Linked DNA regions of Cricetulus griseus. The protein of the gene in region 4 binds, or shares a complex with, the protein of the main gene of each other region. Links are inferred from orthologs where the notes say so. Each region holds a gene or a part of one and is shown on either strand. Other genes may lie near its edges. The genes, in order: Ppp2r1a, Strn4, Strn, Strip1, Stk26, Stk24 and Stk25.

What was found.
Region 1: Strip1 (region 4) and Ppp2r1a share a complex: the UniProt entries of both Homo sapiens proteins name them as parts of the core of STRIPAK complex. The link is inferred for Cricetulus griseus from reciprocal best matches to the Homo sapiens genes STRIP1 and PPP2R1A.
Region 2: Strip1 (region 4) and Strn4 share a complex: the UniProt entries of both Homo sapiens proteins name them as parts of the core of STRIPAK complex. The link is inferred for Cricetulus griseus from reciprocal best matches to the Homo sapiens genes STRIP1 and STRN4.
Region 3: Strip1 (region 4) and Strn share a complex: the UniProt entries of both Homo sapiens proteins name them as parts of the core of STRIPAK complex. The link is inferred for Cricetulus griseus from reciprocal best matches to the Homo sapiens genes STRIP1 and STRN.
Region 5: Strip1 (region 4) and Stk26 share a complex: the UniProt entries of both Homo sapiens proteins name them as parts of the core of STRIPAK complex. The link is inferred for Cricetulus griseus from reciprocal best matches to the Homo sapiens genes STRIP1 and STK26.
Region 6: Strip1 (region 4) and Stk24 share a complex: the UniProt entries of both Homo sapiens proteins name them as parts of the core of STRIPAK complex. The link is inferred for Cricetulus griseus from reciprocal best matches to the Homo sapiens genes STRIP1 and STK24.
Region 7: Strip1 (region 4) and Stk25 share a complex: the UniProt entries of both Homo sapiens proteins name them as parts of the core of STRIPAK complex. The link is inferred for Cricetulus griseus from reciprocal best matches to the Homo sapiens genes STRIP1 and STK25.

The regions. Positions count from the first base shown.
Region 1 is NC_048602.1:19,078,518-19,082,017, forward strand, and holds part of Ppp2r1a (serine/threonine-protein phosphatase 2A 65 kDa regulatory subunit A alpha isoform), read right to left. Parts: intron 3,498-3,500; coding exon 3,383-3,497; intron 3,278-3,382; coding exon 3,207-3,277; intron 2,785-3,206; coding exon 2,650-2,784; intron 1,031-2,649; coding exon 857-1,030; intron 532-856; coding exon 471-531; intron 1-470. UniProt on the Homo sapiens protein: The PR65 subunit of protein phosphatase 2A serves as a scaffolding molecule to coordinate the assembly of the catalytic subunit and a variable regulatory B subunit.
Region 2 is NC_048602.1:11,451,216-11,454,715, reverse strand, and holds part of Strn4 (striatin-4), read right to left. Parts: intron 2,964-3,500; coding exon 2,857-2,963; intron 2,311-2,856; coding exon 2,237-2,310; intron 1,103-2,236; coding exon 1,024-1,102; intron 1-1,023. UniProt on the Homo sapiens protein: Calmodulin-binding scaffolding protein which is the center of the striatin-interacting phosphatase and kinase (STRIPAK) complexes.
Region 3 is NC_048600.1:5,360,587-5,364,086, forward strand, and holds part of Strn (striatin), read left to right. Parts: intron 1-872; coding exon 873-959; intron 960-1,435; coding exon 1,436-1,579; intron 1,580-3,500. UniProt on the Homo sapiens protein: Calmodulin-binding scaffolding protein which is the center of the striatin-interacting phosphatase and kinase (STRIPAK) complexes.
Region 4 is NW_023276806.1:49,527,713-49,532,003, reverse strand, and holds the start of Strip1 (striatin-interacting protein 1), read right to left. Parts: upstream 2,801-4,291; 5' UTR 2,782-2,800; coding exon 2,602-2,781; intron 1-2,601. UniProt on the Homo sapiens protein: Plays a role in the regulation of cell morphology and cytoskeletal organization. Required in the cortical actin filament dynamics and cell shape. Part of the striatin-interacting phosphatase and kinase (STRIPAK) complexes.
Region 5 is NC_048604.1:19,058,861-19,061,883, forward strand, and holds part of Stk26 (serine/threonine-protein kinase 26), read right to left. Parts: intron 2,977-3,023; coding exon 2,819-2,976; intron 2,099-2,818; coding exon 1,913-2,098; intron 912-1,912; coding exon 763-911; intron 1-762. UniProt on the Homo sapiens protein: Serine/threonine-protein kinase that acts as a mediator of cell growth. Modulates apoptosis. In association with STK24 negatively regulates Golgi reorientation in polarized cell migration upon RHO activation.
Region 6 is NW_023276807.1:271,175,076-271,178,575, reverse strand, and holds part of Stk24 (serine/threonine-protein kinase 24), read left to right. Parts: coding exon 1-83; intron 84-304; coding exon 305-462; intron 463-3,500. UniProt on the Homo sapiens protein: Serine/threonine-protein kinase that acts on both serine and threonine residues and promotes apoptosis in response to stress stimuli and caspase activation.
Region 7 is NC_048595.1:445,066,409-445,069,686, forward strand, and holds the end of Stk25 (serine/threonine-protein kinase 25), read right to left. Parts: intron 3,083-3,278; coding exon 3,011-3,082; intron 1,929-3,010; coding exon 1,792-1,928; intron 1,145-1,791; coding exon 1,105-1,144; 3' UTR 501-1,104; downstream 1-500. UniProt on the Homo sapiens protein: Oxidant stress-activated serine/threonine kinase that may play a role in the response to environmental stress.

The DNA.
Region 1 (3,500 bases), on a different chromosome or scaffold from region 4:
CCCTGTCTCTTCTCATACAGCACCTTCTGGCCACCCAAACAGAAAGACTCCATTTGCCTCATTATTCAGGCATGCTAACTGAGGCTCTGCTTGTGCAAATTGTATCTCAAGTTATTTAATGCATACTACTTAAAACTGCCTGACAGAAAAAACAGTGACTCTTTTTTATCCACTTATTAGGAACAAGTCTCTCAAGGGCTGGAGAGACACATGAGTGTAACGCTGCAAGATGGGAAGGGACTTGCTTATGCTTCATCAAAGAGAAGGGTTCAAATCCATGCCTTTCTGCTTGGTGGCTCTCCAACTCCAGTCCAGATAACCCACCCCACATCTTCACTTCTCTCAAGATTTTTTTTTTTTTTTAACAGCAACAGAGTGGGTCCCAGTGAGCACTGATAGCAAGGAAACATGGCAGCTCTGTTCATTGCCATGGCTACAAACCCCTCCTACTGTGTTGCTGGCGTACTTACCATGATCAACCAGCCAGGCCATACACAAAGAGTTGAGTTTCTCATCAAAAAATTCCACACCCTGCAGGAAAAAAAAAGATTGGTAAGGGACTGAGGGGTAGGGAGAAGGAATTGAGGGAGGGGAGGAGGAAGGGGTCCCAGAGAATCAGGCAATGCTGAACCCGTCAAAGCTACCAGCCTTCTTCCTCTGCCTAAACTCCATGCAGCATCTGCTGAGGGCCCAGTTCCCGAGTCCAGTCCTCCCCACAGGCAGCTCTCAATGCCTACACCAAGGCTTCAAGCCCCTAGTAACTGCACCACAGCCCTGGTCCTGGGGCCATGACCAGACCAGATCAGACCCCCAAATCTATCACCTCAGGGCCAACAAAACCTGGCTCCTCACTCACCAGCTGTCCAGCCAGCAGAGGCATGTATTCAATGATGGCCAGCCGCACCCGCCACTTGGCATCCTCAGCCAGCTCCACAATGGCGGGGAGCAGGGACTGAGAGAGCTGCCGGATGCCAATCACCTCGTTCACGCAGTCCAGGTTGGAGATGATGTTCAGCCGTACCTCAGGGCACTTGGGAAGAGGACAGGCGGGTTAAGAGAACACAAAACATACGGCGGCCCTAGGAGCGTGTCAGGAGCAGGCAAGAGCTCCCCTCTGGGTATCGCCTGTGACGGGCAATAATCAAACAGCCATCTAGTCTCCCAGCAGCCGAGGCTCTGCAAAGTGAAATGGGAGCCCCTCGATGTGCCCGAGTTGCTAGTGTCTGGACCCATTCTCTATCATTCCCATCACTTCAACTGCTAATGCCAGACCAGGGAGGACATGTGATGAGTCTCAGAACTGCCAGACTCCAAGCAGTGCGAACCCTGATTTACAGTCCATAGCCATTCCCACTCATGCCACAGAGCAGAGACATCTATAGGAACAAACGCATAGACCTCACAGAGGCCACTGAAAGCAACTTTTCCAGAAAACCCCAAACCCAGAAGAGTTTGTTTTGTTTTGTTTTTTTTCTATGGTGGTGGTAATAGAAACTGGACCCAGAGCTGCGAATGTTAAGACCTTTCAAGTGACTTCACTAACTTTGTCTAAAGACTTCTGGAGTAGGAACAGCCTGTGAGGAAATCTATGTCCCAGCCTGGGAACTGGGTTGCCATTATAGAATCAGCTACTGGGTACTCTATCAAAGTGCTCCATTAAAGAATTAGAAGGGGGCTGGAGAGATAGCTCAGGGGTTAAGAGCACTGGGTGTTCTTCCAGAGGTCCTGAGTTCAATTCCCAGCCACCACATGGTGGCTCACAATCATCTGGAATGAGATCTGGTGCCCTCTTCTGGCCTGCAGGGATACATGCAGGCAGAACACTATACATAATCAATAAAAATAAATCTTAAAAACAAACAAACAAAAAACCAAACAAACAGAAAAAAAAGAATTAGAATGGGTAGCATCACTCTGGGCTGGCACCCCAAGAACACTGGCCCTTTCTCTCACCTCTCCCTAATACTGGCTACACTCTCCTAAAAAGATCTCTTTCAGCCACTGCGTTTGTCTACATATTCAAATCCAATTCCCTGAGCTGTCACCACAGTGACATCTTTTCTTTTCTGTGGTCTAGGCCACCTGCACAGACAAGTATGGTGACCTGACTGGCTATGTCAATGGAACATGTAGAAGACACAAGCTAGAGAGAAGCCCTTCAATGAGCCAAGAGATAAAATTATAGCTGTGACCTCAGACCAAGAAAGCCAGGCCAGCAAAGCTAATACCTCACCACAGGACCAGCTGGGACGATGCGAGAGGAGTAATGGTAACTTTCTATGCCACTGTATTAGGGGCTTTGTGGCACATGAGCCTAAAAACCATGGCGCACCTCTCCCAGTACCGACAGTATCTGAATGGAACTACGTCTGTTCCTCTCCACGGGAACACTCTGTGGGGCTGTAAATATCACCACCACTGTCCTGGTCTTTTTTATACCCTCAGCACTCAGGGGAAGGATGAGTGCAATGTGAAGGGCGCATGAAGCATGTCTAACAAGAGTGAACAAGCAGACACTCACACCTGTCGTTGAGAAGGGAGTGTGGTGTGTGCTGTGTGGTGCCAAGACTCTAAAATACTCTTGGTCAACCCGGCGAACTGCAGTCTGTCATCTCTGCAAAGAGCTGAAAACCTTCCTGGTACTATTACCTCATCCTTTAGCTGAGCCAAGAAGAGTGGCAAGAGGTGCTCAATGGTGTTGTCTTTGCCCAGAATGGGAGAGAGGCCCATGATGACTGAAGCCAGTGCTGACTTGACATGCTGGTTGGCATCTGACACGAGTTCCTGGGGAGGAGAAGGATGCAGCTCAGTGTCTGAGTGGCTGCACAGACCTCAGCCCTGCTGGCCTGAGGAGACCACACTCTCCCACGTGTAACATAGGCAGGGCAGCTCAGGCATGCACTGCACTTATTCACAAGTCCTCTCTTGTTTGCTATGTGAGCCCTGCTTCCAGCAGCCACTGCCCCATTCCCCAAGCTCTGTGGATGAGGGAACTCGGTGGCCTCTGAGGGGCAAACACACCCCTTAGGTCCTTAGGGTCAGTTGTGTAACCCTCACGATTTTGCCTACAGCCAAACCCATGATGGTTAAAACCCAGTTCCTGTGTGTCCTAGAAGGATGCAAATCTAGCTTGGATGGGACTGTACTGAAAACCAAATCTTCACCTCTCTGGCATTCTCAAGTCCTACACCCAAGTACGCCATTACCTTGATGCAGGGCAAGATCTGGGTCATGATCACATTCTCTCGGCAGTCAGCTGAGAGATTTTCACAGAACTCTGTGGACAGAGATGGGAAGGTGCTGGTGAGACGCCACGGCCCAATCCCATTGCTGCCTCTCCGACATCCACCCATCTAGCTGCGTTCTGGTTGCCAGCACCAACCTTTGACCTTGTGGGAGGCAGCGGCCCTCACCTCGGCCTCACAGTCCTTCATCAGGTTCTGGAAGGCGGGCACCAGATCTGTCTTGGTTATCTCAGGCCCTACTGCTTTCTGGAGCTG
Region 2 (3,500 bases), on a different chromosome or scaffold from region 4:
ATCTCTGGCTTTCCAGAAGGGTGCCTATTACATGGTGGTGATTTTTTTTTTTTTTTTTTTTTTTTTAATTTGGTTTTTCGAGACAGGGTTTCTCTGTGGCTTTGGAGGCTGCCCTGGAACTAGCTCTTGTAGACCAGGCTGGCCTCGAACTCACAGAGATCCGCCTGCCTCTGTCTCCCGAGTGCTGGGATTAAAGGCGTGCGCCTCCACCGCCCACCGCCCACCGCCCCGCGGTGGTGGTGATTTTTATGGTGCTGGGGGGATGGACTCCAGGGCCTGGCCCACAGTAAGTAAGGGCTCAACCCTTAAGCCACATTCCACCCATGAGATTCTGAACATTATATAACCTAGCTAATCTATACAGAGGATTTGATAATACTTAGTCAAAGCATTACAAAACCTAAGAACAGTAAAAGCAGAGTCCCGGCTCTTAACACAGTACAGAGCACACCACTCTCAACTCGGGGCACCTCTCCAAGTGTTGGGGTGGATGGTGGAGATGCCAATGTGTACAGGGTCATATTTGCTCAGAAGTGGTACTATTTACTTCTCAGGTATCCTAAAATGCTAAAATCTTTAACAAAAATCCTGATTTGGCTGGAGGCTGGTGGTCCACCAATTCTGTTTGGGCCTCTCTTCTCTTAAGACATAGGACAGCTCACCTCTCAGAGGGCAAGTCAACAGGGCTCACCAGGTCCTCTGAGAACCTGGGTTGAACCCACAGCACCCAGGTACTACTATTGCTATAATTTAACTTTACTCTTTAAAAAATAACTTCCCCTAACATTATTCTTTTAAGAGGAAATGTCAGAGAACTATGCAGGGTTGAGTTTGGGGTGTGGGAAGGTGGCCCCTGCTGCAAGTCTTCCCTCTAATTCCCGTCGGGTGACGGCAGTGTGGGATCCTGATAGTTCATGTCCCAGTGGGGACAGGAAGGACTGTGGATTCCTTGGGCTTATCTTCTGAGCCAAGTATGCTGTGTGTTTCATGCCCCATCCTGTCCCACCCCTCCCCCTCACTCACTGTCGCAGAAGCTGTCGCCCCTCCTTCCACACCAACGGGCTGTTCTCCAGTGTGACCGACTCCACAGGGCCATTAGACACTAGAGAGAAGAGAGGAGGCCGTCTCAGTCGGGGCATGGATACTTTCCTGTCACCCCTCCATCCTCTCCCATCAAGTCTGAATCTGCCACCATCACCGCCCTTGTCCCCACCTCCTGAGTGCATTCCACCCACTCTCCCACACCAAGTGACTCCTCTCTTGGATGCTCTCCTCACTGCTAGGCTTCTGACTGGCCGCTGCCAACCGCCCCCAATAACAGAGCCGTGCCTCCACACGCATGGCTGGCTGCTCCTTCCTATGCAGGGAGTGGGCAGACTGGCTCTACAAAGTGGGCAGGCTGGGGTCGAGTCGGCTCTGCACTTCCTAGAGCAGCTCTGAGCACCTACGAAAGCCTGCTTCCCATGAAACAGCTTTCACCTCTCAGGGTGAGGAGACGCTGGCTGGGAAACCTGCTCTGTGCATTGCTCATCGGGTATCCACTGGGCATCTATAAGGCTGGGATAGACGCCTGGGCCACACCAATCAAGAACTCACATCTTGGCAGGAGAAGATGACCTCCCTCCCTTGACCCCGAGGCCAAGGGCTTCACAAAGCCCTAGACCAAGCTCCCAGCATCAGCGGCACAGCCAAACACACCGTCTACCCGCACTGCCTGGATACTAGTGCTCACCTGAAAACACCCATCCCCTCCCTCCCATGGGCATCTGGCCCCTCCTCCAGTGCCCACAGAACAGGACTACATCTATCCTGCTCTTCACCGTGCCCCTGTCCTGTGACAGGAAGCCAACAAACACATCATGTATCAACTTTTGAGGGTAAATGACTGAATGACAGTCCAGTGCAAACACCACCTCTTCAGTGACGTCTTTCCTACGCTTTCCAAAGCATGCCATAAATAGTTCCACTCACTCCCCTAGCAGGAGGAAGCAGGAGCTGCTGGGGCGTCCATCACGCCCTGAGGACAGCAGGATGGCAGGCAGGTGGGGCTGGGCAGTCTGAAACAGGACTGATGGGAAGACACACCAGCATGCAGCTCTACCCCACTCCACCCTACAGCCACTGCTGCTTTTCAAGGAGCCAAGTAAGAAAGCACAGGAGGCCATCTGCAACGTCTCTCTCTATGCCAAGCAGCTGCCATGCCAGCGTGGCCAAGGGAGGGTGCAAGTGCAGGTACCTTGTTCGGACACATCTGTCTTCTTCTCCCCCTGGTTCAGGTCTGTCCCGAACTTCAGCTTATGGTATTTGGCCCTAAAACAGCAAATAACAAATGAGTAGAGATGAGTAGACAGGGCGATGCTGGGTGGTGGGGGCGCTCGCCTTTAGTCCCAACACTTGGGAGGCAGAGGTAGACAAATCTCCACGAGTTCAAAGCCAGCCTGGTCTACAAAGCAAGTTTCAGGACAGTCAGAGCTATACAGAAAGGCCCTGTCTCGAAAAACAAGACAAAAAAGCAGACAAGGCAAAGACCACCTCAGAAAGCCCAAGTCCCAGGCCTCTTTCATTCACTCCCTGCCCCACAGTACCAGCTCTAAGAGCCTCAGTTCCTTCCCAGAACCTCAGCCAGCAACACCATCAGACTGTGGCAAGAATAAGCAAGGTAGCAGCTGTCCAGAATTGGTGCACACAGGTTTGCCAAAGTCCCTAAAGCTGCTGCTGGCAGCTGAATCCACCCACCACAATCTGTTTCACCCCGCTCCTGGGGATGACGGGAAGAGGAAGGTGGAGAAACTTCCTCTGCTGGCAGCCTGCCACCCTATCTGAAACAGTGACCTCTCTGGCAGGGGCAGCTCTCACCTCTCCTGCTTTAGTGCATATTCTAGCATCTTGATCCGCCGCACCAGGTCCGTCTTTAGATTCTCTTGGCCTTTCCTCTCACCTTGGAGGAAAGCCACCTGAGCCTGGGACAGAAGAGAAAGTTAGATAGCATGGCTGAGGGTCACTGATGCTGTGTCTCCCTCCCCAGTTCAGGAACAGCTTCAGGGCCTCCCCCACAGCGATGCCAGTGTTCAATAAGAAGAGAGGACAGGCTGGGCCCACCTCCAGGGTCTCCGGGTCTACTACCCATAAAAGAGCTCAATCTATAATCTCAGCACTTGGGAGGCTGAGGCAAAGGGACTGCTACACCTTCAAGTCTAGTATGAGCTAAGATTAAGACTCTACCTTACAAAGAAGAAAAGGAAAAAGAAAAGAAAGAGAAGCTGAGGAGCCATTTTTAACCCATGGAGTTCAAACAGGGACAGCATGGCCTGACTTGGCTATGGCCTTCTGAGGAGTTAGGTCAGGGATGGGCGGGGGCGTTAAGCATTAACAGCTGTGTCCCTATGGTTGCTGGTGGAGGCGGCAGCCCACTCTTCCTTCAGAGCGTCTGTTGCTGGGAGGCGTAGGAAGCTACTTCTGGCACTCAGGGACAAGAGTAGGAGCCTGGGCTCAGCTCCCAC
Region 3 (3,500 bases), on a different chromosome or scaffold from region 4:
TTAACATTAAAGCAAAACTATTTAATCCCTTTATTCAAATATGCTAAAAAACTTTAAACTTAAAATATATATTGACACATGAATTTCTATGGCTTTTAGAACCATTCTCAAGCTAGTTAAACTAAAATGTTGAAGATAATTTGTATATCGTACATTAGAAATTATTTCCAGACTAAAAACCAATGTCGATGTATTTTTTGGGCATATTATGTTATAAAATTAGTATGTTGGGATGTAAAGATTTTTTAATTAGAAAGGTAGCCAAGACTTCTGTGGAACTCATCTCCTCTTACATTGTGATTAGAGTTTAGCCTTTCAGATCTAAACCTGCACCATTTGACTGGAATAGTATTCCTACTAGCAGAAGCAATTGAGTTCCCTGCTCCTGGGGATTGATAACTATATTTAAATATATAGCACATGGGCTTTTTAAATGAAGAAGTGTTAACTCTCTGGGGAGAAATGTGAATGATTTGCACTGACGATAAGGAGTGTAGACTAAGGCCAGCACATTTTATTTATTCTTTTCACTTGTTATTTGGTTAAAACAGTAATATGAGGACAAGTGAAGACCTGTGATAAAGAGGAAAATGAAGTAAAGCTTTGAATTGGTATAAGAAACATTAATTTATAAGCCACCAAAATATACTTTTTAATTGAGCTGTTACCCACTGTAAACTTCTTGTTGTTTTTAATTGGTCTACTGTAAGTATATCCAGTCAAATTGTGTACTCCAGTCACATTATCTTTAATTTTCTAGGAATTAGTTAAAATAGCTTAGAAATAGTTGTATTCTTTGCTATGGTATGTATAGGAAATACCATAACGGACTATGGGTAAGATTTTCCCATTCTTAATTAAACTTGTAACAGGAAAAACTACCGAAGATCTGTTTCAGCCTCTATCCTATATAAAACAGTCAAAACAGGGATGTGGGAGAATGAAGAATCAAAGCCCAGGTAAGTGACAATAGGGCATGAGACTTCACTTTGGGTTCCATAGCTGCAGGATGTAAGGCAATGAATGTAACTTAATTTAAACAAGCAGAGACGTTATTTTTCAATTGAGTTTACATTTGGTTCATGATCTGTGATTGTCTTCATTTAGACCAATAGTCATTGGGTTCATTGTAGATGAATATGACTTTTAATGATACATATTGGACATGGCATTCTTTTTCATGTAGTGATTCCATTAACTTAATTTATAAAACATGTATTTAAATATCATTTTTTTCCAGAAATGATAAACTCTTAAACTTTGAAAACCTCGAAAATAACTACTTCTTATTGATCACTCTAGTAGGACATTTTAAAGGTGAATGTTGGCAGATGTGAAAAAGTTTATTGTACAGTTTTTATGAAATGAGTGATTCTGTTTTCTCTTTTGTTTTTTCTCCTCTGCGCCCCCCCCCCCTTTTTTTTTTTTTGGCTAGGGCCCAACAGGTCAAAACTACAAGACATGCTTGCTAATTTGAGAGATGTAGATGAACTTCCTTCATTGCAGCCGTCTGTTGGCTCCCCTTCCAGACCCAGCAGCTCTAGGCTCCCTGAGCAAGAGATCAGGAGGGCAGATGAAGGTGAGCACCTGGACCTGTGGCTGGTACAGGCACCTTAGAGAGCACCCAGCCCGCACACACTGCTTTCTTAAGTCAGTGGGGATGACTCCAGCTTCGGGTGAGAGGCATAAATTTTAGAACTGCTCTTAGTTTCTGCTTTGGAATATGCCCTAGCTCCATTGACAAGAGTGGTAACAGGCTTATTCAGTTCAGCCTTGAGAAAATTGAGTCTAAAATTGGTACTAAATGTTCACTGTGAAAGTCAGCATACTTAATTTATCATTGATTTTAAAAATGAAGGAACACCAGATATGGTGATACATGCTTTAATCCTAGCACTCAGAGGCAGAGGAAACCAGTTCTCTGAGAGTTTGAAGCCAACCTGTCTCCAGAGCAAGTTCCAGAGCAGTCAAAGGTGGCATAGTGAGATCCTATCTCAAAGCAACAGCAAAATGGAGGGAAAGTTACCTGGTTTCTTGCTTCCCATGTTTCCATTGCCTTTCAAAAGTCCTTATCCACTTGCATATTTTTTTAAACATAATTACAGCCATTATGTAGAATAGCTCTGTTTTGTTTTATGTTTAACATAAAATCATATGTTGATAATTTTTCAAGCTCAGCTTTAATGCTACATATTACACTTGGTGATAGAGCATGTTCCTATCACACAGAGCTCAGTTTTAACTCCTGCACTAGGGTAGAGGAGTGAGTGAAGGAGACAGATGGTGTCCCCTTGATGTCATATTAGAATTCCAGTTAGTTTTTTAAAAGCTCTTTAAGGGCATCAGTATTTAGTTACCCAAAGCACTGTAACCTGTTTCTTAACTTCTGAGGCTAAAGAGAACAAGATGCCTACCTTCTTAGAGACATGATGTGCCTGTTGCTTTCTCTGACTACTGACTAGACCTTCTTAGACTATTAGTTAGTACTAACCCATGCTGTGGCCAGTCTCAGGAGACTTACTGTTTCAGGACAAGCGAATTTATAGAAGTGGGCTGGGCAATGGTGGTGTACAGCTTTAAACCCAGAACTCAGGAGGTAGAGGCAGGTGGATCTCAGTAAGATCAAGGCCAGCCTGGTCTACAGAGTGTAGAGGCAGGTGGATCTCAGTAAGTTCAAGGCCAGCCTGGTCTACAGAGTGTAGAGGCAGGTGGATCTCAGTAAGTTCAAGGCCAGCCTGGTCTACAGAGTGAGTTCCAGGACAGCCAGGACTGTTACCTAGAGAAACTCTGTCTCAAAAAACAAATGAGAGAGAGAGAGAGAGAGAGAGAGAGAGAGAGAGATTAGAAATGAAAAACAGAATAAACTAAAGACAACTGCTGAATACCTAGTCTCCCAGGCACACATGAAGTATTTGATATTTTGGCCTGAAAATTACTGTTTGGACAGTTTCCACTATGCAAACACTAGGGTTCTTTGAACCCTTCAAATGACATGCAGCATTTAGATGAGGCTCATTTTTATTAATGCTACTCTTGTGTGTATGTGGTTTGATAGTGGTTTAATTTATATTCTATTTTATTCTACAGTAACTGTCTTTTTCCTGATGAAGATTTTGAGTTTCTGTTACTACTACTAGGTTTTTGTCACCATTTATCCCTGACTAGCCTGAGCTGGTTAAATAGACCAGGCTGGCCTTGAGGTTCCTCTGCCTGTGCCTCCAGAGTGCTGGGACTAAAGGTGTGCACCACCACACCCAGACACCACTACTGTTTTAAGGCCAGCTATTAAAAGCAAGCAACTATTATTTAATGTCTTCAACAAGTACCTATTATTAAACATGATTAACTGTAGCACTGAAAAACAACTTTTAAGTCTGTTGTGTACTGGATATAATTAACTCACTTCTTTGTTTAAAAATAACATCTCTTTAGCAAATCTTTTGAATTGTTAAATTCATCTTAAATATTTGTAGTCAGTGAAGCAGCCTCTGGAAAAGGCA
Region 4 (4,291 bases):
AATTTTCAGTGAAAACTAACAGACAGAGAAAGCAGAAACGGAACAGATTGGCCTTCTTCCCACACACAGGAGAGAATGCACTGAGAATCTGTTAGGGATAGGTGATTCCTGAGAACATGCCATCTTGGAAAACTGGTACTGGGAAGAGAGAAACAGCAAGAAAAAAATGGATAAAACCATCTTGATTAAAATGTACTTGGAAGACCCAGAGGATACAGTTCAGTGTAGGGGACCTTGCCTAACATGTGCTAGGCCCTGAGCTTAATCTTCAGCATTGGGGGTGAGGGGGAGGAAGCAAGTTAGATGGAGGGTGGGGTCAGAGAGAACCTTATAATAATGACCACTGACAAAATAGCATAATATACCCCCAAACAATAACTCTACTCCTTATTAATGGACAACAGTGAACACTTTTACAAGCTACTGAGTTTCTAGGCTAGGTATATAGTTCAGTGGTAGAATGATTACCTAATGTGCAGAGTCTTGGGTTCACATCCCAGTACCACCAAAACACAAATAAAATCAACAGTAGCATGTATTGCTGAGGTTGAGTTTTTCATTTACTGGATGCGAATGACAAAAAAAAAAAAATCTGCTTGGAACTTTTTCTTATGACTTTTTTTTGACAACTTCATACATATTATACAATGTATTGTGATCACATTCATAACCTAATCCATTACCCTTTCTTACCCCCTCCCAATGTATTTATGTAGAGACAAGGTTTTACTGTGCAGCCCAGGCTGGCCTTGATCTCTGATCCCCCTTTCTCAGCTTCCTGTGTGTTGAGACTAGAAGCATGCTAGGCTACCTTCGCTATTTTTGAAGACTAACAAAATTAATGCAGCACATATTGAGCTCTCTCTCCTCGATGTCAGCCTCCTGTTGTCTAGACACTGATCAGATTCCCAAACTACTGATTTCAGCTGTCATTAGAGGAAGTGTGCAGCATAAGCATCTCTAATGCAAGTAGATAGATCTCTCTATTTGATGGGCCTTTAGATGCCGACTCTGCTGAAATTAAAGGGTAGAAAGAGAAATTAAAATGTCTATGGGAGGTTGAGGATGTAGCTTGGCAGTACAATGTTTGCCTAGCTTACACAAGGCTTGGAATTTGATTCTCAGAATCACAAAATAATAATAAAATGCATGATAGGCTATGTATTTAGGAAAATTTAAAGCTTCTTTACCTGCTGGGCCATCTTGCCAGCAGGTAAAACATTTTTTTTAAGATTTATTTTATGTGTCTATCTGTATGCATGCAAGTTCCCCTGGAGGTCAGAAGGAGGGTATTGGATCCCTAGGAGCTGGAGTTAAAGGCAGTTGTGAGCTGCCCAATATGGGTGCTGGGATCCAAACTCAGGTCTTCTGAGGGCAGCAACTGCTTTTAACCACTGAACCACCTCTCCACCACCACCCCCAAAAGAGCCTGTGGGTATTAATCGATTCTCAGCATCCTATTCAGAAAAACTAAACAAGTCTGGTCATTAAAGAAGGTGTGCTCACAAACTTAAAACTTTCATACTCCTCCATACTTGAATGGTCACTGAGAAGTAGCCACTGATGATCCATTGTTCCACAATAAAGGGTTCAACTTCTGTTTTTTCAAAAAGGCCACTCTAAGTTCAACCTCTCTACTCTGGGCTTGTTCATCTGCAACATGTTTTAGCAGGACTTGAGCCTGCAACAAAAAACGATGAAAGGAACTGATGTCTAAAGACAGTATCATTAGTCTCTGGTTCAAGCTGGAGCATCAAATTTGGATAATGAGGAATTCCCTCTCAGTAAGCGCCTGACTGCTCATCACACTGGGAGTTGTCTCAGGTGGAGACTGCATAGTAAGTGCTCTGGGAATGAATGTGCTGATTAAGAAGCCCTAAAATGCTGCCACGGGTGTGTGTTCATTCATGAATTCTGCAAACGGAAGCAGTGGGAGGAATTTTAACTTGGGGCGAGGTGAACGGCTCCATAGTGCGCGGGCAAAGGGAAACACAGCTCACTAGCAAGAAGGAGAATCCTGCGCCCTTTGTGTACTTCTGATCCTTAACAGTTCAGCACTGGGTTCACGGGGCACACAAAAACGCTTGTCAGGGTCTGCCCATGGCCTGATCCTGCAGACTTAAAGTTCGGAGGGAACCCAGGGTGCTCTCTCTGCTTCTATCACAACCTGGGGCCACGCAGCATTAGAGAGAGATACAAGCCCTGTTCTGAGCACCCAATAAACTCTCTCAGGTCCCTTCGCTGCCAACTGGCGTCTCCCACCGCCCGCCCAAGATTAGGGGCCGGAAATGATGAGGCGCTGAGAGCAGACCGCCTCCTCTGGACCCCAGGGCTGTGCCTCGGGTCACGCCCCCGGGAGAGACCGGCCGGCTGTCCCCGGCTCCCGGACCTTCCCCGGGCCGGCCGGCCGCACAGGAGTCAGTGACAGGGCTCCGGGCTTCCCTCCCCGGGGCCGCGGGAGCGTCATGGGTCTCGGTCAAATGACAGCCGCCAGCCCGCCTGTCAAGCCTCCCGGAAGCCCGGCTGGGCCCGGAAGCTGCCCGGGCCCGGGACCCCCTCTGCCACCCGCCCAGGGGCAGCCTCGCCCCCTGCAGCTCTGACCTCCGAGTCTTTGCGCTGGTTGCGGTTGAACTCGCGAGCTTTGCCCCCCGGCAGGAGGCCCCCAGCGGCCCTCGGCGCCCCGGGAGGAGGCTGTGCGGTGGCGGGCGGCGGAGGGGGTGGCGGCTGGGGCTGCTTGTTGTTCACAATCAGAGGGCCGGGACCGGCGGCGGCCGGCTCCATCTTGGCTGCTCCACACCCCCGGCTCAATTCTCGGACGGGCTCCGTCAGGCAACTCTCGCGTGATTTCCTCCAGGAAATTTCCCCAATCGCCATCTTCAGTGTGGCGGTGTTGTGTGGAAAGCCGTGACTGCCAATCACCTCCTTCCAGGGAAACTAAACGAGAGACGTGCCATTGGGCTCGCGGGAGTCCCTACAGGGACCTTTCTGTCGGTGACATTTCACTCCTTCGGTTTATTTAGTGGTCTCTTCCTTACTCTACATCGCTTTGCGCTGTCGTCACAGCCCCGTTCAAGGTGAGGCAAAATGAAAGGGGAAATTCAGAAGACCTCAGTAGAGAAAGGAATCCCTTACCCATGGGTCTAGTTGAAGCCTCTTACTACCAGAGAAGAATTTCAGTACAATTAACAACTGATTGTGGCTCTCCCCACCCCCATCCCTCAGCTGGAAAACCTGCAAGTTTGTAGGAGTCTGCAAGTTGCACTGCAAACCTCTGTGCAACCCTAGGAACTCCTGGTTTTGCTTTATCTGGAGCCTCGTTAGAATCTTAGTATCAAAAGAGAAAATAATGCACGGGATGGAGTGTGGGGGGGGAGGGGATTCTGTTTTGTTTTGTTTTGTTTTTTGAGACAGGGTTTCTCTTCGTAGTCCTGGCTGCCCTGGAACTCCCTCTGTACACCAGGCTGGTTTTGAACTCAAAGAACTACTTGCCTCTGCCTCCAGAGGACTGGGAATAAAGAAGGTTTGTGCTACCACTGCCTGGCCAGAGTGGGGGATTTAGCTTTGTAACTTGAGAGCCACCAAAATGGTACCTATGGCTAATACTAGGACACTCAAAGAAATCTCTCCCTTGAAGAGGACATAGCCAAGTGTGGATATGTCTTTAAGCAACCTTCTCCTAACCCTCATGCCTAAAGTCTATATTAGATTATCTTCATAACTCTGCTTCATACTGGATAATATTGAAATTATTTTCTGCATTGAAGACACAAACTCTGGTTTGAGGTATACATACAAAAGAAAAAGGAAAAAAAAACATACACGTAAAAAAAAAAACAACTTAATCCTGAATTGGCCTGAGTTGATGTCCCTGAAAGATTGGAGGAACTCCGTGGACTGCTAAAGATGATAGTGTGAAGCTGTGTCTCTGTCACCAAACCACTGACAGACTTTAAGGCTATAATAGTGAACAAAAGAGACAGGATTCCAGTCTTTGTGGAGTCTACAGTCACATGGGGGATATAACCAAATGAGCAAATAAAACACAGAAAATGAAAATAAGTTTAACATACAGAAATTGTGAGGAAGGGGGTAATGTATGTACCAAGCACCTAGAAACTGCTCCTGCTGAAAAGGCCTTAACTCCTTATTTGGGCCCAAAGGTAACCAGAAAACCCTGGCATCTCTGCCTTCATTTTGTAGCTGTCTCATTTACTCTGGGTTACCTGCTCACCTCTGCACTGAGGTGTACTACTTGAGGAGGATCTGTCAAAAAACAAACAAACAAAAAAAA
Region 5 (3,023 bases), on a different chromosome or scaffold from region 4:
GAATCACGAACCCTGTAGAATGCCTTGTGTTTTTAAAGTTCCATCAAGAAGTTTTCATGGGCAGTTAAGGTTAACAAGCCTTAAACTGGGCACAAACTACATACTGAGATATTTTATTCATTTCAAATATTGGGCAATTTCTCATAAATGCAGGTGCCTGAGAATATTGTGACGACATAGGGTGCTACCTCTGTGGAGGTCTACATACCAAAAGACTAAATCCTGGTTCAGCCCTTGAATTCTTCTACTCAAGTTAAGATGAGCACACAGAAGCAGAAATACTGGCATTTTTCAAAAAGACTAACTTGTCCATAGGGTAAAAACCATACATAAGTAAATAGTTGTCACAGTTCACGGATCAGTCTGATCAATTTGGTCTGGGACCAGGAAGTAGGAAGGGCTGTGACAGCAGTTCTCCAAAGGGTTTTGCAAGTTGTAATCACTGTATGAGAAAATAGCTCCTTATTGCTTCTCATGAACTAATAGAACACCTTTAATCAAATCGTATTCCAAAATTTTGTAATATACTCAAGTATCCACTAGGGGTTAGACCGAGACCATTTAAAAGCAGAGCTTTTCTCTTCCAAAGTGTGTTTCCAAGCTCATTGTATTCCATGAACCATCAAGAAACTTCACAGTGGCTGAAATGAGCCCTCACGGTGATTTATAACTTAGTTGAAAGCAAGCACACTAGGTCACTGCGAAAGGCAGAGCATATGAAAACAGGCTGCCAACATAAAAATAACAGTAACTTGTACATACGAGTCAGAGCCCTCGGAGTCCGATTCGTCATCACTGTGTCCTTCTGCCTTCCATCTCTTAAATCGATCGATCAGTTCGGTCAGATAAGAAGTCTTCTTTGAATTTTTTACAATGAACTTATGTTTCAAAAGTTCTTTTGCTGTAGGACGCTAAGGCACAGACACACACAAAGAAAAGGACTCATGACTATTTTGAGGATCTTTTGGGGAGAGACAGGTAGTAAAACACCATTTGAATTATTACACTGAAATCTACAAAACTGGATCTATGAACAGGAGGACAATTAAAATGTAATAGGAAAACTGACCATTTTATTTCTTCAAGTGGGTCAAGGTAGCCAATTGAAATTGGTTGTTTTAGCAGCCTGATTTGTTAAAGCACAGTAGACAGATGCTAGGATACCTCACCAGCATGCCACTCAACAAAGCTTTCTCAGCAATAGCGGGACTTAGAAAGTAACCATCTAAAAATGTCAAAACAACATTTAAGACACTTTATTACACTGACTGTAATTTTTGAAAAATCATGCAAATGAGCAAGATTGCTGTAATTTTGTTATTATCTGCACATCTTATGAATCCCTAATTTTGTCATTATCTGACCACATCTTAGTATATGCTTTTCTATCAAACACTAATTCTTATTGTACATGAATGCAAACAGCAAGTGCTGTAGGGAATATGTCCCCTTCAGTATTTCATTAATATTATAATGTTTACTGTCAACATAAAATGGTTACATCCAGCTTAGAAAGGTGCTCATGTATATTTAATCACCAGGAGTGAAAAGCAGCTTTATTTTAACAACACTAAGACATGTAATAAATTTAGTCAATTCCCTCACTAATGGCACATGCCTACTTTACTAAGTAAGTAATAGAAAGCTAATGAATTATTTCCCCAAACTTTTTTCTTGAAATAGAATATTATCAGGTAGCTGGGAACTAAGAAGATGATGTCAGGGAGGAAAAAACAAGACCAAGAATCTGGTTAAGAACAGAGTGGAATTAGCAATACAGAAGGAGAAACCAGCTTCGTGGGTGGATCACAGATGTTTTTCACATTGTATTCTCCATATAGGAAACACCACCTTTGTTAGAAGTAGATAGAACAATTGGAAACCACCAGTGGTAATAACAGCATATACTCACAAATGATGGATCTTTATTCAGGCAAGCATCAATGAATTCCTTAAAAGACTTAGTAAAGTCTCCAACAAGAGTTGGAGGGTTGTTTTTTGGAATAAGAAACAGAACTCTCATTGGGTGCATGTCAGAATTCGGAGGCTCTCCCTTGGCAAGTTCAATAGCAGTAATTCCCAAAGACCAAATGTCAGCCTAAAGCAGAAACAATAACACAAACTTTTTATCACATTGACATATCAAGAAATGTGGTGAATTATAATTTTAGTTAATGGAATTCATGAATTAACACTTTAAATCTCATATTTTGTACAGGCACAACACTAATTGAGTGCTAAATAAACCAGATGAAAGTCCTTGCCTTGAAGAGGCTTACATTCTAATAAGAGGGAAAGATAAATGAGTAACATGATGTCATATGGAACTAAGTTCTGTGAAGACACAAAAAGCAGAATAAGGGAATATCGAGCAAAGCAAAGAAAGGAGCTACATGTTTATGTGGGATGGTTAGGGATGTTTAGAGAGAGCTCACTGGGAGCTAGGCTATTCCAGACAAAGGGGAAAGCAAGAGAAAACTCCTGAGGTCAAAATGTACTTGTGTTTGAGGAACAATGAGGCCATAATAGCTGAGAGTACAGATGACAGTGGTAGAAGACAAGGGTGGATAGACATCAAATGGCCAGATCATCAGTGGCCATATATGTGACTATGAGGACTCTAGATTTTATTCCAAGTGGGTTGAAAAACCATTGAAATAAATAGGGCTCAAATATTACCAACACCAAAGGGATTTACGATTAAGAAACAAAATACGACATAATTTCTTTTAGAAGCACTTGTGAAGCAAGGAAAAATTAAAAAGCTTATTGACAAGGCCATATCCAATTAATTCCATCTGCATGTGGAATACTTTACTTTAGAGTCGTAAGCTGACTGTTGAATAACTTCAGGAGCCATCCAAAATGGAGTTCCCACAAAGGTGTTTCTTTTAATTTGTGTATCTGTCAGCTGGCCAGCAACTCCAAAGTCAGCAAGCTTAACATCACCTTGCTCAGAAAGCAAGACATTGGCAGCTAGGGGGCAAAGAAAAACAAAGTGAGTATCTCTCAGCTTCCCCAAA
Region 6 (3,500 bases), on a different chromosome or scaffold from region 4:
TCAGATTGCTACCATATTACGAGAAATTCTGAAGGGACTTGATTATCTACACTCTGAGAAGAAAATCCACAGAGACATTAAAGGTAGGAGCTACTCTTGTTTTCATTTCTTTGAAACACCTGAAGTGGCGGAGCCTTCCGTACCTCTGTCCTGCCTACTCTGCATCAAGCTGAACTGTTGTGAACCTCTGGGCACCTTGCTATTACAGGCCCTTGTGCCCTGTGGGGAAAGCATGCCTGGACTCCCAGGGTGAGCCTGGGTGGGTATAACTGTAATGATGTCCCCCTGCTTGGTTGTCTTGCAGCTGCCAACGTTCTGCTCTCTGAACATGGGGAAGTGAAGCTGGCTGACTTTGGAGTAGCTGGCCAGCTGACCGATACCCAGATCAAAAGGAACACCTTCGTGGGCACTCCCTTCTGGATGGCGCCCGAGGTCATTAAGCAGTCAGCCTATGACTCAAAGGTGAGAGAGAGCCTGTGCTGTGGACCCACGACATTCAGATGTCTGTCCCCTTTCATTTTTGCATCCGTGTCTTTCCTTCCGTACCTGAGGTAGGTTGTAGAGGTAATTCTGTGAGCTTCCTTCTTCATCTCCCGCTGTGCTATTGGCTATCTTGTTCTTCTGGCCTTGGTGTGTGTTTGATCTGGTGGGGCCAGGAAGGAGCAGATACGAGGGTGGGCATAGCTTCAGCCTTCTGAGACATGCAGACCCTGGATAGATGGCTCGTGGCAGGCAATGCCGCAGCACAGGAGCACCAAGGTGGGTGGGATCTTGGCACAGTGATGAAGGGCAGGGCCTGGACAGAGCTCAGCCTGCTCTGTATAGATAGGGCTTCTAGAGAAAGAATCAGAGTGTAGTGGTATCTTGTTCCGACCATGGACTTGGGGTGGTGGCCACACCTTAGGGTGTGGCTTCAGTGTGTGACGATGGACGTGACCCCTTATAAGGAAGAGGAGGGGCTGGCTCGTGCTCTCTGAAGTTGTGGTTGGAGCATCCTTCAGGGCAGAGGCTGCCCACTGCATCAGAGAATCCACAGAGAAGCCCATGGCAGAATGGGGCAAGCATCATTCTATAGTGACTGCACCATGTGTTCTCATTTTGGTCTCAGGTCCTTACTCCCAGAGGCTGTGAGACAGCAGGAGACTGCAGTCCTCCCACAGTTGCTTGTTTTTCAGCTTCTGTACCTCGTGTTCATTGTTTTTTTGGTCCTTTAGTTTTTTGAAGCCTTGTAATAGGCCACTCCATTTGCTCGGGTCAGCGGCCTGTGCATAGTAACAATGATCATGGCAGAGAAGTAGCTTTCCTGAGTCCCAAACTTCACAACAGCAGCAAAAATTTAACTCAGGGATGCTCATAGGTCGAACATTGTTTTTTGTTTGTTTATTTATTTACGTGCGTGTGTGCGTGCGTTCGTCTATGTGAATATGCACGTATGAATGCTGATCCTTGGGAAGGCTGGAAGCATTAGGTCATCCCCGAGATGGAGTCAGGCTGCTCTAAGCTGTCTGACACAGGTGCTGGGAACCAGACCAGGATTCTTACGAGAACAGTGTGAGCTCTGAAATGTGTAGCTGTCTTTCCAGCCGCCAGTCCCCATCCCCTATGAAGACGGTTTTGCTCTGTTGCTGGAGTCTGACAAACTGGTGAGCTGCCTGCTTCAGCCTTCTGGTGTTGAGATTGCAATGATGTGTTAGCATGCCAGGCTCAAGCCTTTGTCACTCTTTCTTCTCTCTCTCTTCTTTTTAAGATAGGACCCTCCTCCATGTGTAGCAGCTTTCCTGGCTCATTAAATGGTGTGTGGAACATAGGCTAACTTGCCTTTGGGACCTTGGGTGGCTCTTGTAAGGTGTCATGGCATGTCATGGTGGGTGAAGGTGCAGCTGTCCCACGTTCTGGCTTGAGAGAACTCAGAGACTGGTGATGTGGTAGCTCGGGTAGGAGCTCTTTCCCCGGCATCCAGAAAGCAGCAAGTGTGCTTCAGGCTAGTCAGTTCTGCTCTCTGCATTTGTTGCCCAGGCCTTTTCCCTGAGTTCTGTCATACAGAAAGGTGGGTGTATTGTCCACAGCTCACTGTCAGTGCTCATGTCTGAATTTTGGTAGAAGAGGGACTAGAATCCAAGTTCCTTTCATTGCAGGTCATTCTCTTTCAGTTGCACTCAATTGGCTTTTCAACCATGGCCCTTAGGACTTGGAACCCAGGCCACCCATTTCTGTTTTACACATAGCCACCCCTTTTTTGTTTGCCAGAGAGCTCTCCTGATCTTGCTGTCATTCCAGAGCATCTCTAAAATGACTTTGTGGTACAGTTCAACCTTGGTTGTTTTGGGCTATGACTGTCCTCTCCTTACCTGATTTTCATTCGAATCCCCAGGTGCCACACGTCGTAAATGTAGTGATAGGCAAGGTTACGTTTGCTGGGATTTGGTAGAATCAGTTCATTAAGTTAATGGGCTATGGTAATGTAATTATTTGTTCTGAGGTAGAGTAAGTAATGCTGCTTGTGGAATGTTTGGGAGACGCCTTCTGTCTTCCTACTCACATTTGTTAGGGTAGGTTGGGTTTACACATGGATTCTTATTGTGGTCTTTGATTATGTGCCAAATGGCTTGGTGCTCATGGGCTCAGTGTCCAGGTTTGTCAGTGGGCTTCAGATGCACAGGGGGACTGCACAGGCTCCAGGTGCAAGGGCAGCTTAGCCAGGCTAGTGCTAGAAGGACATGGGACGGCTGGCAGTTAAAGCCTTGTCACATGGCCACACATCTGTCACCTGGCTGGGTTTAGATATTTCATAGTTTTGGGTGTTTTTGGTTTTTTTTTTTTGGACAAGGTTTCATTATATAACCCATTTTGGTCATGAACTTTCAGTTCCTCTGGCTCAACCTCCTTAGTGCCAGGATGGCACCAGGTTGTTCTCGGTTAGGACGATCCAAAGAGGACAGGTGAGAGTCAGGCCTTCCTTAATGCTCCTGTAGGTTGCTTTCCTATGTGTGGCTTTCTTGCTTCTTGTCACCTTCATGGTTCTGACTGGTACCCTGCCGTAAGGGTTTCTGGAACTTTCAAAGTTACAATGGCAAGTGAGTCCACTCCAAGTGGTTAAAGGTCAGCAATGTCCGAGTCCTGTAGTCACCTGAACAGGCCTTCTCTTGCCACGTGTAAGAGAGAAGGCTGTCCCTTCAGGGCCTGGTGATGAGTTCACAGGGCAGTGACGTGAGCAGAGGTGTCTCCCTCCACTGCAGGTCCCCATGTCAGCTGTTTGCCAGCCTGTTGTGTTGTTTGTTTTGAGTTGCTGACAGCCCTGCTCACTGTAGAGCAGCCCTAAGACTGCTGTGTGTTCCCAGTCTATCTGATGTGTCTTTCCCGGTGTGTTCTCAGCCTGGGTCCCGTGGACTCTGACATGAGACTCAGACTCAGCACTGGGGAGCCCTGCTGCCTAAGCCCATGTACCAATCACTTCAGTCAGTGCACAGTGGGTTCCTTAAATGGTGACTGTAGTGAAGGGC
Region 7 (3,278 bases), on a different chromosome or scaffold from region 4:
GTCTGAGATCCAGGAAAAGGAAATGAGGGTTCCTCAGTTTGTTCTGAGTGCAGCCTGGCTGACTGGCCCCCAACACAGGACCAGATGCTTCCACAAACCTGTAGCACCAATAGCCAAATTCACACAAGCACTATACTCAGGCTTATGTGATAAGCTCAGGGTTAGCCTCCAGATCAGAGCAAGACAGGAGTGCGGCCAAAGCTACTCTGGTTCCCATCTCCACACACTGTCTAGACAAGAGGAAACCAAAGATCCCGGCCCCACCACCACCACCAGGCCTGGGAGGGTGGAGCCTCTCCATATTAGTTCCTAGTATTTCTCATCAACTAGGGCAGGCCTATGACTCCTGTTCACTATGTGACTTTAAAATAAAAGGACATATCCCCACCCACATCCTCTCTGCCTTACTTTGTTCTCCAGCAGGCCACAAGAAACTATCAGGATATATGACAACATTTGGAAGGGACGCTAAGGATACAGACACCCCCATCTGGCCAGGCTCCATCATCAGAATGTCTCCAATCCAGGTCTTTATTGAAATGATAGGGCTTTCAATGCTCTATGAAAACTAACACTGTCAGAATACTTAGCAAGTTCAATTTCTTTAAAAAGAAAAAAGAAAGGCCCAAAATACTCTGAACGATTCAGAGTACCCATGAGATCACACAGTGCCTGACCTGACACCACAAGGCAAGTTGTGACCATCTTGGACCCCTATGAGCCCCAGGACAATACATCCCTGGTGTAGGGTGAGAGCCAGAGCTGCCCAGTAGTCGCTTTCATCCTTAGTCTAGCAGCTGCAGGGGCCCGGGATTCTAGAAGGTCACACCGGCGCCTCCCAAATTGCTACCTGGTTCTTCAAGGGCTCCTGGCTGCCTGCCGCAGCTTCAGTGAGCCCAGGAGAACACGGGTGTTGAGCGGCTGCTGTGCGGGCAGCACACGATGGCGGGCCGAAGGAAGGAAACCTGGTGCGTGAAGCCTACAGGCTGGCAGGTCTTTGCAATTGTGACGCAGCACAAGAGGGCTTCCCAGTCAGTCCTTTTAGAGCTCAAAACAAAAAGCCTTCTTCTCCCTCTCTGTAAGAGCAGTGCATCAGTCCGTCGTTCAGCGGGTAGATGTCAGATGGTTCCTGCTGTGTGAGAACCTGTAAGAGAAAGGTACCATTACCATGCTGGACACGAACTTCACATGTGCAGTTCCCAGCAGCATCTCACAAGATACCGTCAGAGTTTCAGGTCCCAGGTTCAGTGCTGACTAGACCAAACCCTGCTGCTGCTGCTAAGAACCACCAGGGTGGGTCTCTTAGTGTACAGTAACAGGATCCAGAGGCTATGGGAGGAGGGACTGGTACACCTGCCTCTAACAGCCTGGGACCCCTGAGCCTGTGGAGCTGCCAAGGAAGGGCCAGTGGCTGCCCTGCATGTTCCTTCACAGACGGGAGTCAGCTCAAGGCTCCCCATCAATAGCAGGCAAGTCCTCAGCTTACAAAGTATCCATGCTGTTCCTGGGGCACAGAACCTCTAGGAAGCCACCAAGTAGAAAGGTCAGATGTCAGCTGTACACAATGCTCTGTCACTGAGCCATTTTGTGGAATTCTGTCCAAACACTGCCTGAGACTGAGTCCAACCTTCATGCATAGCTCAAAGTCTCAAGAGGCCCACTTGCCTCTCCCTCTCTAACTCCAAAGATACAATTGAGAGTGTGTGCTAACCCTGAAAGAGGAGGACCAGCTGCTCCCAAGAATGAGTCCCCTACGAGGATACCCTACCTGGGTCAGGGCACCGTGCTCACCTCTGCACACGCTCCACCAGGTGCACCATCAGCTTGTCTGAGATACCAGGACACGACTCCTCAGCCAGGCTGAAGGCATTCTCTAGCTCCTCCAGGGCCCCCACGCTCCCACCGCTCTGCTTATGCTTCTCTTTGAGCTGCAGAGAGAACAGGTACCCAACTGATATCTTACCTGAGACCCACACCAGAAGATCTACAGACCTGCGGAAGCACTTCATGTGGCCCTGCTGATGGGGACTCTCGTGGCCCTTCTCCCAAGACCCGGGTTCTCAAAAGGTCAGGACAAATGGCTTCTTAAAGACTCAAGTTCAGGAAGTCAAATCAAGTGGGCCCAGTCTGACTTAGAAATGAGTACAATGTCCCGGAGCACACGGCAAGGACATTGACGGCCCAGATCAGATGCGGAGCGTTGGTAACCGATTCTGGGACCTCAGCCCCTGATGGCACGTCTACTTTAAGGAGTCACTTTCCTGGCCCTGGGCATCACTGTCTGATGCCCATAACAGCCCTAAGTGGCTGTTTCCTACTCTGGCTAAGGACACTGCCAAATCCTACTCTGCCCACTGTGTCCATTCACCTACATCCTGTACTTCCTCTCTGGGATCTAGGTGCTGTTGTAAGCCTACACTGCATTTCTCTTTCTGTTGTTTTTGTTTTTGAGACAGGGTTTCTCTGTGTAACAGTCCTAGCTGTCCTGGAAACTTGCTCTGTAGACCAAGCTGGCCTCAAACTCACAGAGATCCGCCTGCCTCTGCCTCCCAAGTGCTAGGATTAAAGGCGTGCGCCACCACGCCCAGCTTGTTGCACTGTATCTCTGATGTTGGCTTTGACCTCCCTCAGCAGGCAACAGTGACATACGTGACCACCAAGGAATCACCTCCCTGGCCTAGGACTGACCCAACATCAGTGATTCTTTGTCTTCCTCCACAGAAGAACCACGTGGAAGTTGGACAGTACAAAACACTAGTACTGTAATGCCAGATGACTTTAGTAAAAGGGCCCTGGCCAGGTCAGTTATTCCCAGTGGGTTATGGTACAGACCTTCTCAGGAAACTGGACACACAAGCCTGTGCAGAACCAGCTGCAGCAGACCCAGAAGTCAAATAGATAAAGCCCAGGCTCAGGGCCCACGAGAACACCATACCATGGCTCTGCAGGGAGCACCTCTGAAGAACAATGCTACTACCCCACATGACCATAAGCTCAGCCCAACTCTCACCTCTCCAAAGACAGGCCGGACTAGCGTGGACAAGCACTGGGACCTTGGCTGTCTCTTGATAGGCTCAGTAGGCTGCAAGGGAGAAAGCGAGGCACTGGGTACATGGAAGAGATAAGACGATTCCTTCCCTGTCTCCTCAGTCTCTGGCTTAAGCAGGTTGACAGAGTACACACCAGAGGTCAACTCCCAAACGATAAGCCATCAGTTCTCATTAGGCCTGCACCTAAGCACCAGCAGACCCAGGCTTTGGCATGACTCCTAGCTAGCT